Arabidopsis thaliana: one gene and its partner. The protein of the gene in region 1 purifies or fractionates together with the protein of each later gene. This does not show direct contact. Each region holds a gene or a part of one and is shown on either strand. Other genes may lie near its edges. The genes, in order: PRL1 and NRPB2.

Region 1 (16,589 bases):
GATATTCATAAAATTCCCTCACGCTCATAGCATAATTTAGAAGTATAGAAGGGTCAAATGGCTCTTTACCTCAAGCAATGCATCAATGTTTTCATCAAGAGAAGGCTCCGTTGTTTCATACTGCCTTGAAGATGTATCGCTTGTGTTCTGACTGCTAGCCATATTTTGTTGTCTAGAATTTGTCATGGCAGGGACATCAGTCTTGAGAATAAGATGAGTGAATCCTTTGACTAGTGGAGCCGCCAAAAGAAGATTTTAAAATGTTAAGCATAAATCATATTCCTTAAATGTTAAGTGAATCCTTTGACTAGTATAGTATAGTGTCTGGTTTTTCATTAGACTTTCTGAGATGAGAGGTATTTCTATTAAAACTTAAGTTGAAGGTTTTAAAATGAATCAGCCAAAACTGCAGGGTTTGTTTCATTAAAATCCCAAAATTGTTTCGTATACATCATATTACCCACTGAGGACTCTGCTCTTTGTGGAAATGCTAAATTAGCCCCAAACCTTTTTCTAAGTCCCACTTTGAATTCTAATAAGAACGAACAGATCGCGGGAAATCCAAAATGATTTGAAACCTTTTCACCTGAATTTCTGTGAAATCCAAAATTCTCTCTCTATCAGTAGAGAATCGCCATGGATGAAGAGCTTCTGCTCACTAGAATCCTTGCAGGAATCGAAGGAGGAGACGATGAATCTGACTATCATGAACTCGTCACGGATCTCAAATCTCTACTTGATACAGACGATGATGAAATTCTCAATCGATTCTACGGTAGTCTCTCCTCAATGGCTTCTTCGTTTCTCCGCTGTATCTCCGCCGCCATGGATTCTCCGGTTGAATCAGGCCGTCTTGCTATTTTAGCCTCCGACGCTTATCTCAGTCTGCTTCTTTCCACGAATTGCCCCGTTTTCACTTTCTTCTCTCCGATTGCGTTTCTTTCTCTACTTGGCTCAATTCGCCGCTACCTCAAACGCCGTGATGATTCCGCCGGTCAAGGGAGTAATTCGCAGCGAGAGAAAGGGAATAAGAAGAAGAGAGGACGTGGTAAGAGGAATTTAGGGTATGAAGATGGGGAAGAGACTGAAGAAGGTGGATTTGATGCGAAATTGATGTTTATAGTGTTAGAGAAGCTTGGCTCGGTTCTGAGTTTTGTTCATTTAGATAGATTTCCTGATAGTTTGAAATCTTTGGTACAAACTGTGAGTGAGATTCCTTTATTGGCGTTGGAGCACTCTGGAGTTTTGAATTATGATCGATTGATGGAAATGTGTGGGAAGATTCTGGGAGGAGTGTTGAATTCTGACCATGGAGATATGGCACTCACTGCTGCTGAGATTTCAAAGTCTTTGACACCGTTGCTTCTTATGGGGAAACATCAAGCGAGAAGTTTTGCGTTGGGATTTGTGTCAAGGAAATTGATGAGTTTGGCTAAAGATAACCCTGAATTGAAAAAAGTTGTGTCTAATTTGCCTAAGTTTCTGGTTCATAAGGCACCTGAGAAGGCCGAGCCGCGTGGATTTGCAGTGGAGGCGGTACTGGAGATTGTAAAGGCAATGGAGGTTGAGGGCCAATCAGAGTTTGTTGATTTTGTAATGAAGATGTGTCAAGGGAAGTCTAATTTTAGAGTATTAGCTGTTGATATTATACCTCTGTTGATAAGCTCATTAGGAAACCCTCTAGGAGATATTAGTTCAGAGAATGGGTTGAAAGATTCGTGGGGCTTGGGTTGTATTGATGCTTTAGTTCAGCGGTGTTCAGACACGAGCGCTTTGATTAGAGCTCGAGCTTTGTCCAACTTGGCTCAAGTTGTGGAGTTCTTGTCTGGTGATGAAAGGAGTAGGTCGATCCTGAAACAAGCCCTTGGGTTTAACGGTGAGACTTCAGAGGGAAAAGGTGCAGTAACTGACCTTTTGAAGAAAAGATGTGTGGATGAGAAGGCGGCTGTAAGGAGAGCAGCTCTTCTTCTGGTGACAAAATTGACATCGCTTATGGGTGGTTGCTTTGATGGTAGTATCCTAAAGACAATGGGTACATCTTGTTCTGATCCGCTAATAAGTATAAGAAAGGCTGCAGTTTCAGCTATTTCCGAGGTATGTTTTCTGTAACTCAGTTTCTTCTTTCTCATTTACCCGATGGTAATATGTGTAGAGTTAGTATAATTTATACGGGTTTGCTTTGACCTTAATTAGCTCAAAGTTAAAGAGACCAAATGTGCAAGCCAAAAATGTTTTTAGATGAATGAATGGGAAATTACATAGCAACTGCTTCCGTCGGTTTCATACTAAAATCAGATAATCTTTATACTTTAACTTATCCCTGAATATAGGTCAGGCACTCAGGCTAATGACTTGTTATCATATTTCTCTGATGATGCAAGTTCATTGTCTTCTGTTCACTGTAGGCATTCAGAATATGTACAGATGAAATTGTGACCACTGAATGGTTACATTCTGTTCCTCGGATGATCATGGACAATGAAACTAGCATCCAAGAAGAATGCGAGAATGTCTTTCATGAATTAGTTCTGGAGAGAATATTACGAGCTGGAAATGTGCTTTCTCCAGACAGTGCTTCTCTCCCTAACAACCGGAACACTACTTCAAAAGATCTAGACAGAGACATTGAAGCCTTGTTTCCAGAAGGAGTTTTGGTTCTCTTAAGGGAGCTTTGCAACAGTGAGGTTTCTCCTTGGGTTACGAAAATATGTGGAAGTTTGGGAAAGAAGAAGCGACTAAAACCAAGAGTTGCCCTTGCGCTTCAGTGTATCATAAAGGAATCTGAATCACTGTGGTTGAGTCGTTCAATGCCAATAAATAGATGGACAGCTCCTGCTGGTGCTTGGTTCCTTCTATCAGAGGTTTCAGTTTATCTTTCAAAGTCTGTCGAATGGGAATTTCTTCACCATCATTGGCAGTTGCTTGACAAGAATGACGTACAAGGTTTGTCAGAATTCTGTTTATCCATCTATAAACATCTCAATCAACTGATTCATGTCTTTACTTGTTCCTACTGGTAGTGTGATTTTCTGGTTTTAGTCCTAACTTCTACCCTAATTAAACCAATTTTCATGAATGTATGTATGATAATTTGGCTATTTCTGAAGGGCTAGATGAACAAGGTGATGAACAGGGGGTCGAGTGTAATTCTTCTACATGGGCTGGCGATCGAGTTTGTCTTTTGCAAACAATCTCCAATGTTTCCCTTCAGCTGCCAGCAGAGCCTGCTGCAGATCTGGCTGACAATTTGCTGAAGAAAATCGAAAATTTTAACCTGCATTCTGCTGAGGTAATGATAAATATTTAACCTGATATCTTCTATATAAAATCAAGCTCATGTTTTGAAAGTACAGAAAGTTACTGGTTTTTGTCTAGAAGGATGTATTCTTTCAGATTTTGATATTTTTTTGGTACTTTTCTGTAACCTGAAACTTGAACGCTTGAATTGAGCAGATCATTATTCACTGGTTTGAAAATGGTTGCTTCGTATATGGTTCATCTATCTTCATGAACTTAGTCAATGCCATTGAATGACAGGTCGATGCACATGTCAAAGCATTAAAAACTTTGTGCAAAAAGAAGGCAAGCACCTCTGAGGAGGCCGATATGCTTGTCAAGAAGTGGGTAGAACAAGTTTCATTGAAAGCATCTAAGGTCACTGAGAAGTACATCGAGGGGGTTTCCAGTCATAATCATTCTTTTGTTACACCAGCAACACTCGGAAGTAGAAGAAGCAAGAGACTGGATACTGTGTCCAAGAAATTATCAAAAGCAGTCACAGCAGTATACACCATTGGATCTTGTGTCATTATATATCCTTCAGCTGACACGACCAAAATTGTTCCGTTCTTACATACTGTCATCACTTCAGGAAATTCAGACTCAAAGCTGAAAAACAAACTGCCGCAAGCTAATGTTTGCTTGAAGCAAAAAGCTCCTCTTCTCTATAGTCAGTCTTGGTTAACCATGGCGAAGATGTGTTTGGCTGACGGGAAGCTTGCTAAAAGATATCTCCCTCTCTTTGCACAGGTCTGTCTGCATTTGCTGATTCATGTGTCCATTTTATCATTTTGATTATTTCTGGAAAGGAAACTTTTCGTTCCAGGAACTTGATTCATTGGATGGTAGTCTCCTTTGTCTCTTCAATTTTTTTTAACCTATGTGAACCCGTTGATGCCTTACTCTTGCAGGAACTTGAAAAGAGTGATTGTGCAGCCTTGCGTAACAATCTTGTAGTAGCGATGACAGACTTTTGTGTTCACTATACAGCCATGATTGAGTGGTATTTCATTCACAGAACATTAATTTTTCAAATGTTAAACATGATTGCGACATTCTAATGGTTTGTTTACCTGGATAGTTACATACCGAAGATTACTAAACGTCTTCGGGATCCTTGTGAAGTTGTTAGAAGGCAAACCTTCATACTTCTCTCAAGGTTACTACAGGTATTGCTATTCTCCACAGATTCTTTATCTTCTGTTTTTAAAAAGTATTGAATTGACAATGAATAAGCAGGCTTGTTTTCTTGATTCAGAGAGACTACGTGAAATGGAGAGGAGTTCTCTTCCTTCGATTCCTTCTATCGCTAGTGGATGAATCTGAAAAGATACGTCGACTTGCAGACTTTTTATTTGGAAGCATCCTTAAAGGTATGAGAACTCACGTGAGCAACCATGAAATGCATTCTTTCATTCCCATGTTATTGAAAATTCTTACAGAGAGACATGATCTCTAGGATTTTTGATTATTGTTACGCCCCATGTTGCTTATAGTAAAGGCGCCACTTCTAGCTTACAACAGTTTCGTGGAAGCTATTTATGTCTTAAACGACTGCCATGCCCACACTGGCCATAGTAATCCAGATTCTAAACAATCAAGAACAAAGGATCAAGTTTTTTCTATCAGGTACTTGTGTTAAAGTTATATAGTCTATGCTCATACGCAAACTTGACATTTTGGTGTGAATGATCTTAGTGATTATCTTTGTTTCATTTGTTCTGTAGAGGGAATGATGAAAGGGCTAGGTCTAAAAGAATGCAGATCTACGTTACTTTGCTTAAACAAATGGCCCCAGAACACCTTTTGGCCACATTCGCCAAGTTATGTGCAGAGATCCTCGCAGCTGCTTCTGATGGAATGCTCAACATAGAAGATGTCACTGGTCAATCAGTTCTACAGGTAACTTCCAAAATGGCTACAGAGCCTTTTTTCTTCTTGTGATTGCCGATTTTTAACTCGTTTTGTCTCGGTGTAGGATGCGTTTCAGATCTTGGCGTGCAAAGAGATCCGTTTATCAGTTTCCAGAGGAGCATCGTCGGAGACAGCAGATATAGAGGAAGAAGGTGGAGATGCAGCAACTGCAAAAGGAAGGGCCATAACGCACGCTGTTAGAAAAGGTTTGATTCAGAACACGATTCCAATCTTCATTGAGCTCAAGAGGCTATTGGAGAGCAAGAACAGTCCTCTCACAGGTTCGCTCATGGACTGCCTCCGTGTCCTCCTCAAAGACTACAAGAACGAGATCGAAGAAATGCTTGTCGCTGACAAACAGCTTCAGAAAGAGCTTGTTTACGATATGCAGAAGCACGAGGCTGCAAAGGCAAGGTCCATGGCTAACCAAGGGGTTGCCTGCGGGACAAGTCATAGAAACGGTGAACCTGAAGCATCAGCAGCAAGCGAGGAGAATGTTAGAGATTCGGGATTGGAATCAAGAGTGGTTTCTGCGGCTGCTGATGTGGTGGCGGCTAAGGCAGCTAGGTCGGTGTTGAGAGAAGTGAACGGTGGAGCTGCAACGCCGCCTCTGAGCGCAATGAGTGTTCCGAAGCTAAGGTCGAGCCGTGGAGTTAGCCAGAGTGGTCGACCATCAGCTGATGTGTTGGAGTCTCTGAGAAGAAGACCAACTTTCATGTCTGATGATGAGAGTTAGAACTTAAAAATGAGACTGTAGAAAATAGCTTTTGCTGTAAATGCATGACTTCGATTTTTCTTTTTGGGAGATTAGATCGAGACTCTATTAAAGTCTAAATCGTATTTATAAACCGCATAAGACACTAAAACCTGGTGTGTGTGTGTGTGTGCGCGCATTTGTTTGCTTGCTCATGTTTGTCCTTGTGTGATAAATCCATCCCTGCCCTCAAATTGATTTATGTGTTGTATGTGTTGATTTTAGTGATAACATCTCAAAGTGATTAAATATTTTCAAAAATGCTATTTGATGTCTATAACGGCTTTAAAACTTTTGCAAGTTCATTAGAGCTATCTCTAGCACATATATGGCGCTTAGAGATGTTACGAATATGTAAGACTGATTACATATCTCTTTGGCTTAATAAATATAAGTATTTGTGTTGAACTCTTTATCTTCTTCTTGAAGATGTCTTATGGGAAACATGTTAAATGGATAGTAAATGAGAGATTCGAAAATATAGTGTGAGCTTCCTTCTTTGGTTTATGCATTCTCCATGTGGGGGGCAAGGTTTTTGAAGATTTATACTTTTGTGGCAAATCTCTTGTTTGAATACTCCATGGGAGTCTCTCATCAAAACTATGCTGCAAAATATTTGAAAATTTATAAATCTATTGTCTTTGAGAAAGTGTTACAAAATTTATGACCTCAATAATATTGCATGAAAACTTTCATACATCATTTGGTATATGTATGTTTAAGAAAAGGTAAAACCGTAATTATAAAGAGAAAGAAAATACAATATCTTAATACATATCAATCTAATTACTCATTAACCATATTAAGAAAATATGTGTCTTTATTTTTTCCTTTTAACATAAAGCTTAAAAAGAAGATTTGTAGCCAGAAAAATTAATTGTGTTCATTTCCCTTTTAAAAGAATTTTTCGGCGCAACAAAATCGTGAAATTGATATAAATAAACTCGAGATTATTAATATAACCCTTTTTCACTTCACTTCTCTTTCTCTCTAAACCCTAAAAGAAGAACGATGCCGGCTCCGACGACGGAGATCGAACCCATCGAAGCACAGTCACTGAAAAAGCTCAGTCTCAAATCCCTCAAACGATCACTTGAACTCTTCTCTCCCGTCCATGGCCAATTCCCTCCTCCTGACCCGGAAGCGTTAGTCTTCTTCGATCCCCAATTTTCGATTCGAATCTTCATTTTCTTCACTAAGTTTTTATGATTTCTTCGTTTTTTTTTTTTTTTTTTGCAGCAAGCAGATTCGTCTCAGCCATAAGGTAAAACATTGAGTCTCTCTTACCAGTCTTTAGAAATTTATTTCAGTTATTCGCTTTTAATGTCTATTGATTGGATTTTGGTTTAAAGCTTCGAACTTTAGGTTTATTCAGGTTTTTCCATAATTGTTCTAAATCTTCAGGTTTTGTTACCAATAATAGTAAAGATGGTTGATTTACTTAGACTCTCTCTCTCTCTCTGTTGTGTATGTTACTGATTTTAGAAGTTTTCTTTGTACAGATGAAAGTTGCGTTTGGAGGTGTAGAACCTGTTGTGAGTCAACCTCCACGTCAACCTGACCGCATCAATGAGCAGCCAGGACCTTCAAATGCTCTTTCCCTCGCAGGTGTTTTTCATATCACTATGTCTTGGTGAAAGATAAAAACTTGTTTCTTGTTTGCTATTTGCATTCTTATTTGTATTGGAAGGGATAAAATCATCTGCTTGATGAATTCTGCAGCTCCTGAAGGGTCTAAGAGTACGCAAAAGGGTGCGACAGAGAGTGCTATTGTTGTTGGTCCAACTTTACTGCGTCCAATACTGCCTAAAGGCTTGTAAGTGTTATCTTTTGTTGTTGGTTTCGTTGATCTGAATGCTAATTGATGGTTCTACTTTATCGTGAGGATGCTCATAAAAGAATTCGGTTCTCGAATTGAAGGAACTATACAGGTTCCTCAGGGAAGAGCACCACCATTATACCTGCAAATGTATCTTCATATCAAAGGTTTTTTTCTCGTCCTCATACTTGCTTTTCTTTATCTGGATTGCAATACATTAATGGCAGCTCTAGGTAGTGTAGGTAGTTCATGGGCATGCAAATTAGACTTCCCCCAATCTGAATTTTTTTGGTTTGTCCTTATAATGTAGCTTCTAATTCTGATTCCTTTTTTGTTGTTGCGTTCCTTTGCGTGTTACAGAAATCTGTCAACTGCTGCATTAATGGAGAGAATACCAAGTAGATGGCCCCGGCCAGAGTGGCATGCACCATGGAAGAATTACAGGGTAAAATCCGTGGCTCAGCATTGTTGCTGCATCATACGGATTTTGGTCTTTTGTTGGTCTCCAAAAAACTCTGGTTTGAGGAGTTACTTAACTTACGATTAATTATTCTTTTCACAGGTCATTCAGGGGCACTTGGGTTGGGTCAGATCTGTTGCGTTTGACCCGAGTAATGAATGGTTTTGTACTGGTTCAGCTGATCGTACCATCAAGGTAGCAGAGATGATTGCTTATTCAATATGAATTGTATTTTTTCGAATATGTTTTCTTGTTATACTTATAAGTCATGATACAAGACTTCCCTTCTATGGCTAGTTACTGGAGCTTAGTTTAGTGCATTGCCAAAAATCCACTACTTTGGCGATTGTAGAAGCAGTTCCGACTTTGGTATGTTTACTGAATTTATTACTTGTGTTTTATTCACTAGATATGGGATGTAGCAACTGGAGTTCTGAAGCTAACACTTACTGGGCATATCGAGCAAGTACGAGGTTAGCCTTTCAAATCTGTTCTCGTTTATTAATATTTGTTAGACTTTTCAATAAATAACACTCTCGGGACAAGTTACAAGTTTGGGCTCTTTTGTTTTGAATTTTGTTACAGGCCTCGCTGTAAGCAATCGACATACCTATATGTTCTCTGCTGGTGATGACAAGCAAGTCAAATGCTGGGACCTTGAGCAGAATAAGGTTACAACTCTATTCTCTTCATTATCTGGATTTCTCATATCTAATGCTCTTGGAATTTTTGATTTGATAGGTTATCCGATCTTATCATGGTCACTTGAGTGGTGTCTATTGCTTAGCTCTGCACCCAACTTTGGATGTTTTATTAACTGGGGGGCGAGACTCTGTCTGCAGGGTAAGGCAAAAATATTTATATCCATATTTATATATCTTCTCGTTTGAATTCTTGCACTTTGCTGGATTTGTAGTTTAAAAGTCCATGTTTACTTATTTGCAGGTGTGGGATATTCGTACCAAGATGCAAATTTTTGCACTCTCAGGACATGACAACACCGTTTGTTCTGTATTTACTCGTCCAACAGTAAGTCTCTTTTAATATGGACTTGTTGTTATGGTTTTTGGATTTCTTGCTGAATCTTTTTATAATAGTAACTGGAACTCACTTTGATCTGTGTTGTTGCAGGACCCACAAGTTGTCACCGGATCCCATGACACGACCATTAAATTTTGGGACCTTCGATATGGTATATCTTATCATTGTAACCATTGTTTGGACTTAAAATCCATATTATTTAAATCCTTCCTTATTTGATTATCAGTTGCTGCAAATATATGGTTTCATTTGAATAATGCTGTATTATTATTATATGCAGGAAAAACAATGTCAACGCTAACACATCATAAGAAATCTGTCCGAGCAATGACCCTCCATCCTAAAGAGTATGTGTAGTCGTACTGAATCTACTTTTGTGTATCGTGCTGAATCTACTTTATCTTTCCAATAGCGAAGTCTTTGCACCTAAACTTTTCCTTTATGTTATCTCTTTAATTTTCTTTTTAGGAATGCCTTTGCTTCTGCATCAGCTGACAACACCAAGAAATTTAGCCTTCCAAAGGGAGAGTTCTGCCACAACATGCTGTAAGTCTCTGCTAGATAATTATATACTTTGCATCTCCAGTGCTTTTGAAATAGGAGCTGTCATTATTAATTATGTAATTGATGTGTTTGAACAATGTTTATCTTTTTCCATGGAAAAGTTCGCAACAGAAAACCATAATTAATGCAATGGCTGTAAACGAGGATGGTGTGATGGTCACTGGAGGTATATAATCATTTCTGATTCCTTTCGTCCCTGTGATTGTTTTCCTTTGATAGTAAAATGGGTGAGACATAATCATTTTCAACTGAAACTGATTCTATATATGTGTGAATGAAGGTGATAATGGAAGTATATGGTTCTGGGACTGGAAGAGTGGTCACAGTTTCCAACAGTCAGAAACTATCGTACAGCCTGGTACGTACATTTATAGCTTTCATGGTCTTTTGCTCCTGATCTCCTTGTTATGGTAAGATGTAGAAGTCTCGGTATGTTCATACAACGTAGTCAAGTTTGAACCCTGGTAAAGACTCAAATGTTAGAAGTGTATGATACTATGATTGAGCTCTAGGGAAACCAAGAAAGTTGACGTAGGTTTATGGTTTATGTAAATGCCTATAGCGTCGTCTTACAAGCAAATAGTAAATGGGTCTTTAATTGGATGTGGTTGGGCATATGGCAGGTTCCCTGGAGAGTGAAGCGGGTATATATGCAGCGTGTTATGATAATACAGGTTCAAGATTGGTAACATGCGAGGCTGATAAGACGATAAAGATGTGGAAAGAAGATGAGAATGCAACTCCAGAAACTCATCCTATCAATTTCAAACCACCAAAGGAGATTAGGCGCTTCTAAATAACTTGTATCTGTAACTCAAAGCTCTTGTTGGAATCTCACTAATCTCTTCATGATTCTGTTTCCTAGATCAACTTTTGAGAGGGGACCTTTGTTTTGTGGTGGGGAGGAAACAAAAGGCCATGTACTTTATGTATTTTAAGGGCATTTGTAATTTTTTCTATCAACAATAATAGATCATGTATTGTTGTTTATGTTGAGAGAACTTTGTTACTTTTATCTCCCGTCTCTTGATTCTCTTCGTTAGTACTTATCGAAGATCTATCATGATTTCTGTGCAACCAAATCTGTGAAGTTTTGTAGGACGAATCTAAGTATTTGATCAACAACTTATATCTCTAGTCTCCACCACTGAAAGTTTTCAGCCTAAATTTTGGCTCGGGTTGTTTGGTTTATGAAGCTTTTATAGTGTAACTACACAGCTGATACGAAGAAACCAAGTGTAAAAACAAAACAGCTGATACGAAGAAACCAAGTGTAAAAACAAAAGAAAATATTGAAATAGTAAACAATTTGAATGGAAAAGATCCACTAAAAAGAGACGGTGATGGTGAGCTCGTTTGCGCGAAGACACCTGTGTGTTGGTTTTGCAATACGTAAGTGACACGTTCTAGTTATCATCATTCAGATCTCACCGACCTCTTCTGATCTTTTGTACCAAAGTATACTTGTTTATTCGCAGATCTTTTGTAGACTTTTCACCTTTTTAACTGCCAGTATCGTTTAGTGGAAGACGTACATTGGTTTTTACGTCTTCTATTTCTTTCAATTCAATCATCAAACTATCAAAGCATCAAACTATCATAGCTTTCTCACTAGTCACTTGTGGGTTTCTCGAAAACAGGCAAAAACATAAATAAAACCCCCCAAAAAAATGAATTAGCCATTTACTATTTTCACATTTCAGTTTTTAACCTTACTTTGGCAGTAAGTATGAGCAGTGGGTCCACAGTAAGGCCCATGAGCCCAAATTTCTCTGTCGTGGTCTATATAAGTGCGCCTAACCCAAACCCTAAAGTCTCTCGAAAAACCATCACCGGGGAATCTGACGGCGGCTTAGTACCGGCGGCTACTGCAAAAAGGATTGTGTTCTTCTTAGGCTTGATACTTGCCTTGGGAAGAATATAACAATCATTTTGCGGTAGCTAAAACGCTAAGCTCTATCGTCATATCTTTATCATTGATACTTATTTGATATCTAAATATCATAAAAATGGCCGCTCGTTCACTCTCCGGTGCCGTTAAATCTCTTTGCTCCGCCGCATCCGGAAGTCTGTCTTGTTCCATTGTCTTAAGGTACTTATGTTTGAACTGATCCCATTTTTTCAGGTTACAATATATAAACATTTACACACTCTTTCATTTGCTTAGATCGTATAAAGAATTTATAATTCTAATTGAATAATAGTTGATGGTTTGAATTTGAGTGAAGGCTAAAGATTGATCTATCATTAATAAACGTAATTAATTTACTTAGATCTATTAAAGATAATTATGCATGATATTATCACGTTATTTTCTACGTTTTCGTTATGTTATTTAGTCATTTGCTGTTTATATAATCTTACCTTCAAAATAAATTATTGGAATGTAGGAGGAGTTACGTTGCTACATCGCAGAATGTAACAGCAGCAGGATTGAGTAAGGGAGGTTCCACCAGAGTTATGGTGGGGAAGATGGAACAGAGAGGTTTAGATCAAGAGGCAGAGTCTGCTTGGGGACCAGATCCAGTTACTGGATACTACAGACCTTCCAATCGTGCGGCTGAGATTGATCCAGCTGAGCTCAGAGAGTTGCTTTTGAAAAACAAAGCAAAGTCTTTCTGAGAATTTTGATTGGTTGGTTGACTTGGTTCCAGTGGAAGGTTGTCGTAGGCGACTATTCTGATTATGTGTGTTTATGTTTGTCTTGTATCAACTATTAAGTAAAAATAAAGATCACATTAACTAGTTAAAAATATAATATCTGTTTGGATCGACTAACACAACATCTTTAGTATAACAGTGTCTTAAATGTTTTAAGAGATAAATGGGGATATACGAAAAATAGAAAACGTTGCTAATTATGACTAAATTATGATACTTAACAACGTCAACAACAACAAAACAAGATGATTTCACTATGGCATTATATTTTGTGACCACAATCTTATACTTGTTGTTGTTGTCAACATCAAATACAACAATAGAAAATGATGGTGCTTTTTCATACCCCATATAAAATTTTGTTGATTCTTCATGCCCATAGTTTTGTTGAGGCTGCTAATGGCCTAATAGTCTTAGAAAATGCAAACGGACTATTGAGGGTTGAGAATATGCTGTAATTCGGCCCACTTCTGGGCTAGTCGAGTGAATACGTAAGGATCAATCATCAATACTTGGTTGCCACAATAGATTATGAATCAGTGAAACTGTGAAGGGTTCAAGATCTTAGTATATATCATAACTAAATATTATCACTTTGTCCACTAAACTTAAAATGATAACATCGATTCTATGCTATAATGAGATACTGAGATCAACGTTTTGGCTGCTTTTCCTCCTTTGGTCTTAGCTAGTGGTGCTATTTTAAAACTTTTCAGTACTTTTTCGTTTTAGGTTTACTGATGTGTTTGTTATCGGAAGAGTTTTGTCTCTGTTCAATTTTTTCTTAGAAAATATTTTTTTTTGAACATGTATTATTTCTCAACATTTGTCAGTCTAAACGTGTTGTCACTCACATTTCTTCCCCCAACAAATATCAAACATGTTGTCACTCTCGTTTTCATATATGAAATTGAGCATCAACAAGTATTGAGGAGGACATATCCCTGAGCTAGTCATTATGACCATGTTGTTGTGTCTGAAATGAATATCACGATCCGAACGCTAAAGGGAAATGTCAAAGTCCGAGAGACGAGTAAAACTGAAATATGTTTGCTCCACAAATACCGAACCGTACGTACGTCTGTATGACTGTATACGCTCACTTGCAATCGAACGTACACAACGACACAAGACGTTTTTTTACGAATAATATCTCACAAACTCAACCGTCAAGAATCTCAAAACTTATCCAAACAAAAAAGTTACTAAGCCTCAAAACATAGTAAACACTCCATTCTCTTATCTTCGCTTAACAAAAGATGCATTACAATAACAATCCCTAAAATATGTAACATCTTCAAATTAATCTAATTTTGTCCAAAAAAATAACGTACACAAAATCGCACACCACAATAATGTAACAAAAAATATAAAGATTTGTATTTATAAGACCCAAATTAATTAACAAGCTCTTGACATAAAAAAAAAGGGATTTAAGAGAGGAGAGGTTCAACACGTGATGTGAGGCCTTCCTCTTCATCTTGAGCAATCTCACTTAAACCGTTGCTTAAACCAACCGGTTTGGCATTTCTGTAAATTCCATAAAGTATGAGTTGCATTGTCCCAAACACAAACCCCACTCCATTTGGCACCTATCCAATTTCACCACATAACTTTAATTAACTAAATTAATCAATCAATCACAAATACATTATTTCTCAACAACATAATTATAATCAACGCCTATCCGAAATCACAATAAAACGCATTTGAAAATGTCCCCACAAAATAGTAGTTGTTGCATTTTTGAACCAGACACGTTCTTTAAAAAATTAATTGTTTGAAAAAAATGGCCAAAAAAAAAAACATTTTGGTTAATGTTGGAGACTTGGAGTCCACAATTTTTAAAAAATCATTGAGCATTAAATCGATTTTTTCTTTTCCAGAAGATTTTTTATAAACTGTGACATGACCTGACACTAATGGGGTCTAATTGGGGATGTAAAGAAAACAACAAAAATATTTTGGGGGTATTGCTGGAATATCGAAAAAGATATGGGGTCGATGAAATAGCTTTGTTAAGTTTTCCTTTTTGTCTTTTGAATGTGTCTAAAGCCAAAACACTAACGGGACACAGAGACGGCATGAGTATAAGGGTGTAATCATAAATTAAGAAGTGAATAAAACAGTGAAACTATACTTACGAGTAAGAAAACGTCGTGTTGGAGTAAAGCATAGACAGCCCAAATCGCGCCGTTTAAGAAGAGGAAAAACGACAACCAAAACGGCATGTATTTCACGCTCTTTGTTGTCACTACTGTTTTCTGCATATTGTATTAAGAAATTAGACACTATGATCAGTCTATATATTATAACAGATATTGTGATAAACTCAAAACGTATTCTATTTATTTTGTTGCGAATGATTGAAAATGAAATGTTACGTATATATGTCTTTATCCAAGATATGGACCTACCATACCAAGTCGTGGTACAGTATAGTAGCTGGAAAATAAATAAACAATTGGGACGTTGATTTTCATATTTTAGATGTGAAAAAAATCTAATGACGTACAAGTTCATATAATTGATATGTGACTGCGATTTTTTTGAAGACGTGCTTAAAAATGCCATGTGGTTGTTGGTTTATATATGATGATTGCATGTATATATGAACGAAAATAACCTTTATAAAACTAAATGAACAACTACCACCAAAAATAACCACTGACCTTATTTCTGAAAACAGAAAAAAAAATATACTATAAAAACGATATTCGAATTCCACTAAGAAAAAGACAAAAATTGCTGCTTAAAATATAAAGTTAATTAAATTAAAATCAATTTGTTTGTCTACAAAAATTGAATTTTCAGACCAGGTGGGTCGTTTTTTTTTATTATAGACGGCTATAAGCTTTTTGTTTGGAGTATAAAAAAAAATCATTTCTAGAAAGGACCAAGTGGATATGAACAATGACATCTTTTATTGCAAAACGTGTGTGATATGATACTACCAAAACGCTATAAAATAATGTTTTTGAGTTTTGACAGATGAGGTAAAATTAAGAATGAAACTTACCATTGCTGAAAGTGGAGAACCATACATTATAATGTTTAGACCAGCAGATATGAAACCTATTGATTGAGAACGCATCTTCTCATCTTCAAACGCACTTCTCGTTGCCACAATCGCCGCGATTGGAAAAAACACGTTCAACATCGCTTCCACATCCACTGTTTTCAGCTGTAAGAACAAAAAAAAAGATCACATTGTTGTTAACATATATACAAAGCTCAATTATTTGAACCAACAACTACTTTGTAAAATGTAGAAATACATTGGAAACTCTACTTTACAAGTCATCATCGTATTTCTTATAACAAGTGGATCAAATATTTTAATCGACTTGACTTTAGGGAGAACAAAAAAGAATCAATTAAAAGTGAGACATAGAAATCTGATAATCAGATCCAAATCTGAATAAAAATGAATCAAATAAAATGCAGATTTTGTAACCAGCTATCATATAGGAAACACTAAAGATCATGCATAATAGCATATATATAAATCAGAATATCATAAAATAGAATAAATTAAAAACCTTGAGATGTCGAGGGGCATAAAAGAGAAAAAGTGAAACGTAGATGGTTTCAACAAGAGCACCAAAGCCATTAACGGTGGAGACAAGATATTCTCCGGGAGTGACGATGCCGTAATATGTCCATAGCGATGATCCTAACAACGTGCAAATGTACGGCAAGCTTTTGTACTCCTCCGTTGATCTCCGCTTCACTATTTTCCAAAACGTCTCCCTGATGATTTTTGTTTGGTATATTAATATGGACCGATCGATTAATAATCTAAGTAAGAAAGACTATAGATTATACAATTTTGTTACTTCTTGCAAGGTTAGAGAGCTTACACTGGTGAGAGGAAAACTAGTACGGAGATTACATTTCCTGCGTCAAACACATATATATGTTATGTATTGGATCGTGCACTTGTGTTTATACATGTACAGATTATGAGCACAACGTACACGTTAGAGAAGAAGTATTACCTATGACTCCGATATAGAAACTTGCCTCTGCCATTATTGGAGAAAGAGTTTCTGAGAGAGAGAGAAAGAGAAAGAGACAGAGAGACAAAGAGAGAA
Region 2 (13,490 bases), 2.5 Mb from region 1:
ATTATTGAGGTTGAAGCAAGGAAACAAACCTTGTAACCACAGCCTGCTACACATGCGTGAAAGCATTCCTGAATTTAAAAACAGAGTTACATGTACAACAATTAGATACGGTTCAGTCCATTTCTCTTTTTTGAAGAAAAAGATTCATTGTGTGAATTACCTCAGAGTATTTGGCATCTCCAGGAGAACGATCTATAACAGCAGTCCATGGTCTGTCTTTTAGCACAGGATCTTTGTAGCAAATTTCACTGCAGTCTCCTACACCTATAGAGAGTACACTACTATTACACCAATTCATTAACTTGGAAACTTAAACCTGAAAAGCAGAAGATACTCTTCATGAACATGTAATTTCGTTATGTAGGAGACAAGCTTGGTTTTTATGATGTTCCATAGTGAGGACAAATCTAACCGCTCATCATTTCATCAACAGTTTCGTTACAGATTACAAAGAATTAAAAAGAAATGCTTACAATCTTCCCATGAGTCACTATCGGCATCACATCCCTTTTTGCAGAATACTCTCCCTACACAGATTCAGGAATTACATTAGTGCTATGGAAAAAATGTCATACAACAACATGGAGGATAAACACTGATGCTAAAGCTGAAAAAAAACCCAGATTGCTATGGAAAAAATGTCATACCAAGCATAAGTTCAGCTAGCTTTTGTGCCCATGAATGAAATTCAGAGATCAGAGAATGAAAAGCTTTCATCAGAAAGACAGAAACAGCCAAACCAAGCCCTTTAACTAGCTTAAGCATACATATATGTCAATAGTTCATAGAAGCAACATGGATACAGAAGCATCTTTGATACCGTTACTTTGACTCTCTCCCTTTAAATTTCTTTCAGTTCATAAACTACAACTTATTATCTTCCACTTTCTCCTACTAATTTAACCATTTTCTTAATTACATGATAGAAAAGCTCTAAGAACTCTGCATAATCTCCCTTACTTGTAATCAATATAAATGTTGCCGATTCTTCAATCTACATTATTCAATTACGAGTCAAGATGGATGTTCTTAAATACTTGCAACTACAACTATAAGTTGTCTCTGGACCAATCTAACCAAAGAAGCGATTCTTGACCAAAATGTTTAGTATAATCGTAATGAAGTAGAGTGCACCAACAAATAATTAGGGTTTATGAATCAAGAAATCAATCAACAATCCAATTTACAGATCCCAATTTCAATTCCAAACAACAACAAAAAGAAGAAACACTCGGAAGACTAAATTGACTTTTGAATCAAGAAATCAATCACCAATCCAAATCAGAACCCAATCTATCAGCTCCAACAACAGATTCTTATCATCATCATCGAAAACTAAACCATCAAAAAACAACGGACCACGAACATCAAAACTCAAAAACGAATCCGATTCACACAAATTAAGAGTCCAGATATTACATACATGGAAGCTGCGTAAATGCTGAGTACTTATTCGTGCATTTGCTCCCACACGGCGGCGTCCATTGCTGCGGTATCATCTCTCTCTCCCTTCCTCCGCCTTCACTCTCCGTCTCTCTCTCTCTTCTTCCGAAAATATCGCTGACGCCACAAAAATGTAGCCGGAGACTTTTCTTTATATAGTAAGGGTGTTTCCGTCATTTAACAATCCAAGCTCTCTAACAACCAAACCGATCCTTTTTATAATCCCATTTAATCAAACCGGTTATTGATACAAACCGGTTATTTCCATAAACTTAAGCCGACTTCTCTCTCTCGAGCCTTTATAAACTCACAATCTCACAAAGCCGTCTCATTCTCTGCGTCCTGTCTCTCTCTTTGTCTCCGAGAGCTCGAGTAGTGAAGTTTGCTGTGCTCTAATCTTCAGAGAGTGAGAATAAATGGAGTACAACGAATACGAACCTGAACCTCAATATGTAGAAGACGATGACGATGAGGAGATTACCCAGGAGGACGCGTGGGCTGTTATATCTGCTTATTTCGAAGAGAAAGGTCTCGTTCGTCAACAGCTGGATTCGTTTGATGAGTTTATTCAAAATACTATGCAAGAAATCGTTGATGAGTCTGCTGATATCGAGATCCGACCTGAATCTCAGCATAATCCTGGCCATCAGTCCGATTTTGCGGAGGTTGTTTCCTCGTTTTTGTTTTTTTCTAGGGTTTCTATGGGAATTCGAAATTATGTGCGGGTTTATCGTGTTTGTGGCGGTTTTAAAGTGTTTCGATTTGAGCTTCTACCGTTTGGGTGCGATTAGGGTTTACCTGAATCTTATTGATGTCCCGAGATTGTCTTGTTATTCAATGCTTGAGCTATATGCTGTTCAAGAGTCAAAAAATGATTTTGACTATTGATGTCCGGATATTGACTTTGAGCTGGTAATCTTATTAATGTCCCGAGATTATCTTTGAGTTAATGCTTGAGCTCATCTCTTTCGAGGAGGATTTATAGTATTGGTTGAAACTCAAATCAGTTTTGGCACTATAAAAATGAGTTTGGTATCTTTTTTTGCTGTCCCTTTGGTCTGTTTTCCTGCAGACAGTCTATTGTTAGCCCTTATCTGAGAAGCTTATCTCAATGATTTCCCATGATTATCTTTGTATTCGATGCTTGAGCTCTTCGCTTTTTTGAGGTGTATTTTCAGTGGTTTTGAATATTGGTTAAAGCTTAAATCAGTTTTTAAGTTTTGTTGCAATTAGGGTCTGCCTTTGTCGAGTAGCTAAGCTCATTGATTTTCCGAGATTATCTTTCCATTTAATGCTTGAGCTCTTCGCTTTTTTCAAAGTGTCCTTTCAGTGGTCTTTATTATCGGTTGAAGCTCAAATCATTTTTGACTTTGTGTGAGCTGAGATATAGCTGTTTTGCTATCTGTTTTTCTGTATGTCTGATATAGCTGTTTTCCTGCAGACAATCTACAAGATTAGCTTTGGACAGATTTATCTGAGTAAACCTATGATGACAGAGTCTGATGGAGAGACTGCCACCCTGTTCCCTAAGGCTGCAAGGTTGAGAAATCTCACATACTCTGCGCCTTTGTATGTCGATGTTACTAAGAGAGTTATTAAGAAAGGGCATGATGGTGAAGAAGTTACGGAGACACAGGATTTTACTAAAGTTTTCATTGGAAAGGTGTCCGAACTCAGTTCATTGTGTCACATTTATTTAGGTGTTTCCATGTACTCTACTGTTCTGATAGTAGAAATGTTTTCTTCTTGTTTGATTATTTGCTAGGTTCCCATCATGCTCCGGTCTAGTTACTGTACCTTGTTTCAGAACTCGGAGAAAGACCTGACAGAGCTTGGAGAATGTCCTTATGATCAGGGTGGATACTTCATTATTAATGGCAGTGAAAAGGTTCTGATTGCTCAGGAGAAGATGAGTACGAATCATGTTTATGTGTTCAAGAAAAGGCAGCCAAATAAGTATGCTTATGTTGGTGAAGTCCGTTCTATGGCTGAAAACCAAAATAGGCCTCCAAGCACAATGTTTGTGCGTATGCTTGCTCGTGCTAGTGCAAAAGGGGTAAGAGAAAGCTAATTAGTCTTAACTCTACTATATCCTTCCTCGAAATTTATTCTTTAAATTCTAGATAATGGTAAATAAATTACATTCTATGTTGCAAATGGATGCAGGGTTCATCTGGACAGTATATTCGATGTACTCTTCCATACATCAGAACAGAAATTCCTATTATCATAGTATTTCGTGCACTGGGATTTGTTGCCGATAAGGACATATTGGAACACATCTGCTATGATTTTGCCGATACCCAGATGATGGAGTTGCTCAGGCCTTCCTTGGAAGAAGCTTTCGTTATTCAAAATCAGCTGGTATCCACTTTTTTTTCACTTGGTTAATGACATTTTATTATGCTTGAGGAATTGATCTTGCAATCACTTGATAACTTTCATATTACTTCAGGTTGCACTTGACTATATTGGAAAACGTGGTGCAACTGTTGGTGTAACCAAGGAAAAAAGGATAAAGTATGTGATAATCTAAACCAATTAAGTTGGACATTATGATCTAAGATGTCAACTATTGAGATGTTCACACTGGAGGTTTGCGATTGCAATATTATCATTGCAGGTATGCTAGAGATATCCTTCAGAAAGAAATGCTTCCTCATGTAGGAATTGGGGAGCATTGCGAGACAAAGAAAGCTTACTATTTTGGGTAGGTATTTAACTCACTTGTAATGTTTATAGACTTAACATGTTTCTGTGTTGCTCATATTATGCTATGATCCGTAGGTATATCATACACCGGCTGCTGCTTTGTGCACTTGGCCGAAGGCCAGAAGATGATAGGGATCATTATGGTAACAAAAGGCTGGATCTTGCTGGTCCTTTACTTGGAGGGCTATTTAGAATGGTTTGTTCCCGGCACACAATTATACACTCTTGGGGATTGTTGAGTATCAGTGTTTTTTTTATCTCTTACTGACCTAACATCTTCTCTACATGCAGCTTTTCCGAAAGTTAACAAGGGATGTGAGATCTTATGTTCAAAAGGTATCTTACATAGTTACTCTTTCTCGAGCCAAAGACTTTAGTATTAAGTTGTTATTCTGTGTTTGGAAGTCTGATTCATGTTTCTTTGACAGTGCGTTGACAATGGCAAAGAAGTCAATCTTCAATTTGCCATTAAGGCTAAAACAATTACCTCTGGCCTGAAATATTCTCTTGCTACTGGGAACTGGGGCCAGGCAAACGCTGCTGGCACAAGAGCTGGAGTCTCTCAGGTTAGGATAATTCTATGTTAATTATGTTTTTGAGTTCCAATAATTTCTTGATGTATGTTATCGGGTTTACTGTTTTGGCCTATTATAATTCATTGCATGATTTATATGGCTCTAAAGACTTAACTAACAACAGGTTCTTAACCGGTTGACATATGCTTCGACTTTGTCACATCTGAGGCGTCTCAATTCTCCAATAGGACGTGAAGGTAAAGCCTCGTTCTTTTCCTGCACTTCTATTTTGTCTCTGTGTAACTGTTCGTACAGTTGGTGTATTTTAGTCATGGTTCTCTTTATTATCCACATCCTTGCAATTTAGATTGGCTTGTACTTTTGTTTATCCCACTTGAATCTAATCAAGTCTGATATGCCAGGAAAATTGGCAAAACCAAGACAACTGCACAACTCACAGTGGGGAATGATGTGCCCTGCTGAAACACCTGAAGGACAGGTAAAATTGTTATATTTATAAAATAAGGGTGTTTCGGATTTTATAGTTCCATTGCTCATTGTGGCTTTGCTGTACCAGGCTTGTGGTCTAGTGAAAAACTTGGCTCTCATGGTCTACATAACAGTTGGGTCAGCTGCTTATCCTATATTGGAATTTTTGGAAGAATGGGGTACTGAGAATTTTGAGGTCTGTAGCATTTCACATTCAATTTCTTACCCAACATCTGCCTCCTTGGTTCTTGTGGTTTCCTGAAGGTCTTAACTTGAATATAGGAAATATCTCCATCTGTTATACCCCAAGCCACAAAAATCTTTGTCAATGGAATGTGGGTTGGAGTTCATAGAGATCCTGACATGTTGGTGAAAACGTTGAGACGTTTGAGACGAAGGGTAAGCATGCAGTTTCTTTCACGTTTCCATATATGCTAGTGAAAATATTGCAACTTTATGCAGAAGTGACATATTACTTTTTCCTCTTGCAGGTTGATGTCAACACTGAAGTTGGTGTAGTTAGAGATATCCGTCTTAAAGAGCTCCGGATATACACTGATTATGGACGTTGTAGCCGTCCGTTGTTTATTGTAGATAATCAGAAGCTCTTAATAAAGAAGAGAGATATCTATGCTCTGCAACAAAGGGTAAAATTCTAATTTTTACCTGTTATCAAAGTATCTTTTGTTATAAATTCCATTGTACCAATATTTGTTTTCATAACCCAGGAAAGTGCAGAAGAAGATGGTTGGCATCATCTGGTTGCTAAGGGCTTTATAGAATACATAGACACAGAAGAAGAGGAAACGACCATGATTTCCATGACTATCAGTGTGAGTAATGAAATGAAGATGTGATTAAATGAGTTTGTGGTGCACTAATTTCTGCAGAAATCTTACTCTTATGTTTGTTGTAGGATCTGGTTCAAGCTAGACTCCGCCCAGAAGAGGCTTATACTGAAAACTACACACATTGTGAGATTCACCCATCTCTGATATTGGGGGTCTGTGCTTCAATCATACCATTTCCTGACCATAATCAGGTACCTCTGTCTAAATGACTTTTCTATCAGAAGCGATTTCATTATGTAAATTCAGTTTCATGCTAACTAACCCTTTACTTTTTGATGTATTAGTCACCTCGTAATACATATCAATCTGCCATGGGGAAGCAAGCAATGGGAATTTATGTCACCAACTACCAATTTCGCATGGTATGTTCTAGGCTCTTAATTTGTGGTCTTTCTTGTCAGCTCTTGTTACATCACTCAATATTTTAAAGAAATTATTATTGTTCTGTCAACCAGGATACGTTAGCTTATGTTCTCTATTATCCACAAAAGCCTTTGGTTACTACAAGAGCTATGGAGCATCTTCACTTTAGACAACTTCCAGCAGGAATTGTAAGTTATTTTTGCTAGAAGTTTTTCAGAATTCAGCATTGCTCGTGTATCAAATCTCTCAAATGTTTTTTTTTCTTCTTCTTGTGCAGAATGCTATTGTTGCCATTTCTTGCTATTCTGGATATAATCAAGAAGATTCTGTCATCATGAATCAGTCTTCAATAGATCGTGGTTTCTTTCGATCCTTGTTCTTTCGGTCTTACAGGTGAGTATGCTATACTTTTGGACGTTTGCCTTCGGTCTTTCCATTTATTTATACTGCAATCACGTTTGCTGACAGAGATGAGGAGAAAAAAATGGGGACGCTTGTCAAAGAAGACTTTGGGCGCCCAGACAGAGGAAGTACAATGGTAAGAAAGTAATTGACACATGGTTCATACTTCAGTGGTGCTTTTTGTAAGTGAAGTTTAACACTTGGGTTTCTGCTGCAGGGTATGCGACATGGTTCTTATGATAAACTGGATGATGATGGTCTTGCGCCTCCTGTAAGTTTATAATTTATTGTTCCTTAATTATTTATTATCTGATATGATTAGGTGACTAATGTTAGAAAGCATATCATACAATCTTTTATTTTTGGTATAGGGTACTAGAGTTTCAGGTGAAGATGTTATCATTGGGAAAACCACTCCAATATCTCAAGATGAGGCTCAAGGACAATCATCCCGATACACTAGACGTGATCATAGTATAAGCTTGCGACATAGTGAAACTGGAATGGTGGATCAGGTAACTTTGGCTTTTCCTTGCAGTTAAGGGTTTAGAAAGTTTCAGGATTGAAATATGAAACTGATCAATTCTTGTAACTTCGTGTAGGTGTTATTGACTACAAATGCAGATGGTTTGAGGTTTGTGAAAGTGAGGGTCAGATCCGTGCGGATTCCTCAAATTGGAGACAAATTTAGTAGTAGACACGGTCAGAAGGGAACTGTTGGCATGACCTACACGCAGGAGGATATGCCATGGACGATTGAAGGGGTCACTCCGGACATTATTGTGAATCCACATGCTATTCCGTCTCGAATGACAATTGGACAGCTAATTGAGTGCATCATGGGAAAAGTGGCAGCTCACATGGGAAAAGAAGGAGATGCTACTCCCTTTACAGATGTCACGGTAACTTGCATTTTCCTTAGCTGCTTAGTTAGCATTGGGCTTGGTATTATTAGTTTTGACCAATGTTGTGTCGTTAGGTGGATAATATAAGCAAAGCCCTTCATAAGTGTGGGTACCAAATGCGTGGATTTGAGAGAATGTACAATGGTCACACGGGCAGACCACTCACAGCTATGATATTCCTTGGACCAACATATTACCAAAGATTGAAGCATATGGTTGATGACAAGATTCACTCGCGTGGACGAGGTCCGGTGCAAATCTTAACAAGACAACCAGCTGAAGGGCGATCACGTGATGGTGGTCTCCGTTTTGGAGAAATGGAGCGCGATTGCATGATTGCACATGGTGCTGCTCACTTTTTGAAAGAGAGGCTGTTTGATCAGAGTGATGCGTATAGGGTACATGTGTGTGAAGTCTGCGGGCTCATTGCCATTGCAAATCTGAAGAAGAATTCTTTTGAATGCAGAGGTTGCAAGAACAAAACAGATATTGTTCAGGTAAACATAAACTGTTGTGCAAGTGGTTCATATTCATCTTTATCTCTTTCATGCTCATTTGTCTGATGTCATTTCATCTAAATATTCTCAGGTATACATTCCATATGCTTGCAAATTACTCTTTCAAGAGCTTATGTCAATGGCTATTGCACCAAGGATGCTCACTAAACACCTGAAATCGGCTAAAGGCAGACAGTGAGGAGCTTGCAATCTGATTTTGTAGAAACTTGAACTTTCCTTCTCTCTTGGTCATAGCTTTGTAACAATACTAAATTTACAAATTTGTGTAATATTTCTGTACTAATTCTTAAAGCTAGAAAGGTACCTTATAAGATATATTTATGGATTCTTTAGTAAATTTGCTGCTCCTAATTATTCTCATGGGGCATCCGTATGGGGATTCACTTTGTTTCCTTCTGCTTTCATCATCATTGTGCCTTATCGATGAGCTCAACATTGCGAAATCCATTCAATAGCTGTTTCAAACATTAATGATATCTTTTCTATGGTTTTCTCTATTCCTTCAATATTAGTAGCTGCAGCATATGCACTGAGACGAATACTAAGAGTAAATTGGTCAAAAGAGACTCCATTCTTCTCCATTTCAAGCATCAGATCATCTAATTTTCCATGCACATTCATCTGATTATACATATTCATCATACGATTGTAACAACGTGTGTCCATGGAAACACACGCTTCCTTCATGGCTTCCACAAGCTTCTCAGCTTACGATATTAGCAGCTAAGAAGACTAGAAAAGACCGCAATAATCTTTGGGAATGTTATCAAAGAAAACCTCTGCTTCTCCAAGTCCACAGACTCTTGATATCAAGTTTATGCGTGTACCAAAAGCTTGATAAAACATAGTTTTTTTTTTTTTTTTTCCTCAAAACATAGCTTTTATTTGAGAGTTAAAATGTTCAATAGAAAGATTCAGGTGTAAATTAGATAATAATAAAAGTTTTGAGGCTTAATATGCAATTATCATAAACTTTCAACCTTTATTTGTATTTTTTCATTTTTGTAAAGTCTCAATCTTTGACTATCTTCTTCGCCGGAACCGATGAATATACTGAGACGAATTCCGGCGAATTTGATTGCGAGCAGATATTACTACACTAACAGAGTAAAAAAGACGACACTTTACTCAAAAATCAGTCCTTTAGGAGACCCAAAATCAAGTGTTTACCCAGAACTCCAAAACTGGGTTCAATGCGGTAAAAAAGTCTCTGTTGCTGAACTTATTCGCATCGTTCACGATCTTCGTAGACGCAAACGCTTCCTCCACGCTCTCGAGGTAAGTAATTCTATACAAATCAAGTCTCTTTCCCTCTTTACACCGAGAAAAAAAACTAAACTTTAGAATTTTTCAAATTCAGGTTTCGAAATGGATGAATGAGACTGGTGTATGTGTGTTCTCTCCGACAGAACACGCGGTTCATCTTGATCTTATTGGTAGAGTTTATGGATTTGTCACTGCAGAAGAGTATTTTGAGAATCTTAAGGAACAGTATAAGAATGATAAGACTTATGGAGCTCTTTTGAATTGTTACGTTAGGCAACAGAATGTTGAGAAGTCTCTGTTGCATTTTGAGAAGATGAAGGAGATGGGTTTTGTTACTTCGTCTCTTACTTACAATAACATTATGTGTCTTTACACGAATATTGGTCAGCACGAGAAAGTTCCTAAGGTTTTGGAGGAGATGAAGGAAGAGAATGTTGCTCCGGATAACTATAGTTATAGGATATGTATTAATGCTTTTGGTGCTATGTATGATCTTGAGAGGATTGGTGGGACCTTGAGAGATATGGAGAGACGACAGGATATTACTATGGATTGGAACACTTATGCGGTTGCGGCTAAGTTTTATATTGATGGTGGTGATTGTGATAGAGCGGTTGAGCTTTTGAAGATGTCGGAGAATAGATTGGAGAAGAAAGATGGTGAAGGTTACAATCATCTCATTACGCTTTATGCTAGGTTAGGGAAGAAGATAGAGGTTTTAAGGTTATGGGATTTGGAGAAAGATGTGTGTAAAAGGAGAATAAATCAGGACTATCTTACTGTGTTGCAGTCGCTTGTGAAGATTGATGCTTTAGTTGAGGCTGAGGAAGTACTTACGGAATGGAAATCATCGGGGAACTGTTATGATTTTCGAGTGCCTAACACTGTGATTCGTGGTTACATTGGAAAAAGTATGGAGGAGAAGGCAGAAGCGATGCTTGAAGATTTAGCAAGAAGAGGGAAAGCTACTACACCAGAATCTTGGGAACTTGTGGCTACTGCTTATGCGGAAAAGGGTACTTTAGAAAATGCTTTCAAGTGTATGAAAACTGCCTTAGGTGTAGAAGTGGGTAGCAGAAAATGGAGACCTGGATTGACGCTGGTTACAAGTGTTTTGAGTTGGGTCGGGGATGAAGGAAGTTTGAAAGAAGTAGAAAGCTTTGTTGCATCTCTTAGGAATTGTATCGGTGTGAACAAACAGATGTATCATGCTCTTGTCAAGGCTGATATAAGAGAAGGCGGACGTAACATTGATACTCTGTTGCAGCGTATGAAAGATGACAAAATTGAAATCGATGAAGAAACCACAGTGATTCTCAGCACAAGAAGTCCATGCTAAAAGTTTCTTATTCTTCCTTGACGTGATGATACCAAAGATGTCTTCTGAGACAAGGATTTAGGAATGTGATTTCTTAACGGTTGAGTCTTCCTTCAGCAATACTTATTAGTACCAAATGTACCAAAATTTTATTTTGTTAAGAACACTCTCTAGACTCTGTTTTCATAGCATCTATAGAACAGTCTACAAGAGAATCCTCTGTTCTTTTTTCAAATGCAGTGTACTATCATATTGAATCAGCAGAAGGCAAAGTTAGAGCTTTGGCAATTTGGTTCCATTTTTATTGAAGTTTATATTCACTCTATAACAATTTGCTTTCCCACAAAACTGTAGATATTACACAACCTAAAACAGTTAAGAACAAGATAAATGAATTGTATGACAACAAAACTGTGTGTCTATATATGTATTGTCAAGAGTCATTGGTATTGTGTTGCTCACCAGCTTGTTGAAGCTCTACAACTTTCTCATATCCCACATATTCTCTGAATCTCTTTGGAATGAAACAACGACCACCGAATCTCTGCTGCAAGAAAATCAGAAACGCAAAGAGGAAACCGATGCAGAGGATAATAATATCCCATGCCGTAGAGTAATAATCCATTTTGTGGTTTGCATAAATGAATGACCAATCAAGAATCTTCCCGTAGCTGTGACTTCTATACAGATCATAAGCATGAGGAAGCAATCGAACAAAGCTGTTTCCAACGTAAAACAAAGCAGCAAGAGGCTTCAAGTCCGAGTTGCTGAAACCGTTGAAGAGTATTTGAGGAAGGAGGAATGCGTCAAGCATCAAACCTCCATAAGATTTTAGATCTTTCCACAAAGGAGGACGTTGAAATGAGCGTTTCAGGTTCACTGGACGGTATAAGAGATTCCGAGCTTGCGGTTTTCCTATGTATACTATTCTTTTAGGAGTTCTATTACGGTTCACTAACCAAGCAATCAATCCACCGGTGATGTAGAGAGGTAAACACACATAAGAAACCTTCTTCTCTGCTTTCCACACATCTTCACGGTGATGATGGTCTCCGGTTTTTCTAGCAGTCCAAGCTAGTTGGAGAAGACGGCACTCGAGTAAGAAAGCTATCAGTGTCACTATCCGCACCACAATTTCCTTGGCTTCGAGCCATCTGTCGTTCTCAAAGAACAAGTTTCGCTGGTTATGGCTGCCTTTAAAGAGTTCTTCAAAGTTTAACAGCAGAGGAATCATGTGACCTAATGTAATAAGTATCAGCATTGCAACGGAGATGAAAGGAAGTGCTTCCTGGTGTTGCTTCATATGGTAGAGTTGCATACCCAAGAAGAGACATGAAAGTGTATTGGAAACTAAAACCATAGCAACCTCCAAATCCATTCTCCAAACAGATTCTTTCGCTTGATGAACATAGATGGACCTCGACAAAACCTCCATACGTCCAACATAAAGCGGATCTGTCTTTTCCCGTGTGCTTTTGATGGTTCCCTTTAAACGGTCATCGCTTCTCGAATCAATTGGAGAAAAGTTAATCTTGATTGCAAGACTGCAATCCACAGTCTCGTTTTGTATAGCCACTGTGTTTTTTAGCCTAACTGATTGACATCCTACCATGCATAGCTCACCTGTATCCCTATCATATGTTCCCTCAGCGTAGATATCTCCACGAGATTCGGAATTTGGATTCAAAGAACGGATTCTATAAGTGATATTTGTAAAGCTTTTAGTGACACTGTTGACATTCATAGGGATTCCAGTTAGCCCAACCCCTTGCCCACGAACCAAAAGATCCCGATACAAACGGTCTCCCACAAAGTAAGGACTTGCACGGGCAGTTCTCAAGACATTACCTTCTCCAGAATATTTGACTGACATGACAAATCTCATGTCTGAAGTTTGAGCATCAGGGTAATGGTTTCCTTTCCTTTTGGGGCGACTCTTGCCAGCCCCGCATAACTTACCCACTCTCTCGCTTTCTGTATACTCATATCTCAGACTCGGGAAACGCCACAGTTGATCGTTTAGGCTCGAGAACTCAATTCTTCTGAAATAGCTTGGATCACTCTCTGCTTGGGCACTCCAAAGCTCCCCAACTACTGGAGCCATGCTTTTAATCGACAAGATAGCAGGAAATCTCAAACTTAACCTCAGGGAACAATCATCAACCACAGCATTACTCAAAGAATCCGAGAAATTCAAGATCCTGCACGCAACACCACAGAACCTATTCCTCTCTACATCCCAACTTCCCTCTGCAACCAAACTGGTTCTCGGATCAAATGGAAACAAACTACTATAACCGCTCATGTTACTAAATGACAAAAGCATTCGCATCTTCTCCCCATCACACAGAAACGATAACATCGACATAAAACCCGGTGTGTACTCTACATCACTTCCAAAAGGACTACAACTATGGTCAACCCCACAATCATTTCTATACATCAAACCAAACACATGACTTCTACCTTCAAATACTTTACACATTCCTCCCAAAACATTCTCTAACGACAAACTCTCTCCACCATTTACCCCACAATCCAACTTCGATTGCTCTAACAACTTATACTCATAGTTCAAAGGAGTGTTTCTTGCACCAAGAATCAAAACCGTTTTAAATTCACTTAGGCTATCCACGCTCTCTAACACTCCCTTAACCAAACTTCCATAGATATTAGACTCCTTGGAATAGTTAAGCATAAGACGAGCA

Evidence for each region.
Region 2: the proteins of PRL1 (region 1) and NRPB2 purify together in Arabidopsis thaliana (affinity purification with western blotting; one study listed by BioGRID). This does not show direct contact.

What each region holds. Positions count from the first base shown.
Region 1 is NC_003075.7:9,016,817-9,033,405, forward strand, and holds PRL1 (pleiotropic regulatory locus 1), read left to right. Parts: upstream 1-6,849; 5' UTR 6,850-6,958; coding exon 6,959-7,092; intron 7,093-7,186; coding exon 7,187-7,211; intron 7,212-7,449; coding exon 7,450-7,555; intron 7,556-7,669; coding exon 7,670-7,763; intron 7,764-7,867; coding exon 7,868-7,933; intron 7,934-8,126; coding exon 8,127-8,211; intron 8,212-8,328; coding exon 8,329-8,421; intron 8,422-8,635; coding exon 8,636-8,699; intron 8,700-8,811; coding exon 8,812-8,897; intron 8,898-8,967; coding exon 8,968-9,069; intron 9,070-9,171; coding exon 9,172-9,255; intron 9,256-9,357; coding exon 9,358-9,418; intron 9,419-9,547; coding exon 9,548-9,614; intron 9,615-9,735; coding exon 9,736-9,813; intron 9,814-9,932; coding exon 9,933-9,997; intron 9,998-10,111; coding exon 10,112-10,189; intron 10,190-10,454; coding exon 10,455-10,627; 3' UTR 10,628-10,992; downstream 10,993-16,589. Other genes in the region: AT4G15885 (kinesin motor protein-like protein), read right to left, coding at 70-162; AT4G15890 (binding protein), read left to right, coding at 637-2,094, 2,406-2,943, 3,108-3,289, 3,538-4,029, 4,191-4,282, 4,361-4,448, 4,538-4,652, 4,776-4,908 and 2 more; DI21 (drought-induced 21), read left to right, coding at 11,841-11,923, 12,222-12,453; SWEET17 (Nodulin MtN3 family protein), read right to left, coding at 13,926-14,084, 14,637-14,756, 15,512-15,676, 16,035-16,245, 16,356-16,392, 16,494-16,527. UniProt on the Arabidopsis thaliana protein: Pleiotropic regulator of glucose, stress and hormone responses. Also regulates cytochrome P450 CYP90A1/CPD.
Region 2 is NC_003075.7:11,530,570-11,544,059, reverse strand, and holds NRPB2 (DNA-directed RNA polymerase family protein), read left to right. Parts: upstream 1-1,654; 5' UTR 1,655-1,859; coding exon 1,860-2,108; intron 2,109-2,884; coding exon 2,885-3,106; intron 3,107-3,208; coding exon 3,209-3,499; intron 3,500-3,609; coding exon 3,610-3,807; intron 3,808-3,898; coding exon 3,899-3,963; intron 3,964-4,066; coding exon 4,067-4,153; intron 4,154-4,230; coding exon 4,231-4,351; intron 4,352-4,446; coding exon 4,447-4,491; intron 4,492-4,583; coding exon 4,584-4,721; intron 4,722-4,854; coding exon 4,855-4,927; intron 4,928-5,092; coding exon 5,093-5,169; intron 5,170-5,247; coding exon 5,248-5,355; intron 5,356-5,441; coding exon 5,442-5,558; intron 5,559-5,650; coding exon 5,651-5,806; intron 5,807-5,887; coding exon 5,888-5,992; intron 5,993-6,075; coding exon 6,076-6,201; intron 6,202-6,294; coding exon 6,295-6,372; intron 6,373-6,465; coding exon 6,466-6,561; intron 6,562-6,650; coding exon 6,651-6,766; intron 6,767-6,841; and 13 more. Other genes in the region: AT4G21720 (defensin-like protein), read right to left, coding at 30-68, 161-264, 474-527, 1,424-1,499; AT4G21705 (Tetratricopeptide repeat (TPR)-like superfamily protein), read left to right, coding at 9,243-9,476, 9,559-10,803; AT4G21700 (DUF2921 family protein, putative (DUF2921)), read right to left, coding at 11,216-13,490. UniProt on the Arabidopsis thaliana protein: DNA-dependent RNA polymerase catalyzes the transcription of DNA into RNA using the four ribonucleoside triphosphates as substrates. Second largest component of RNA polymerase II which synthesizes mRNA precursors and many functional non-coding RNAs.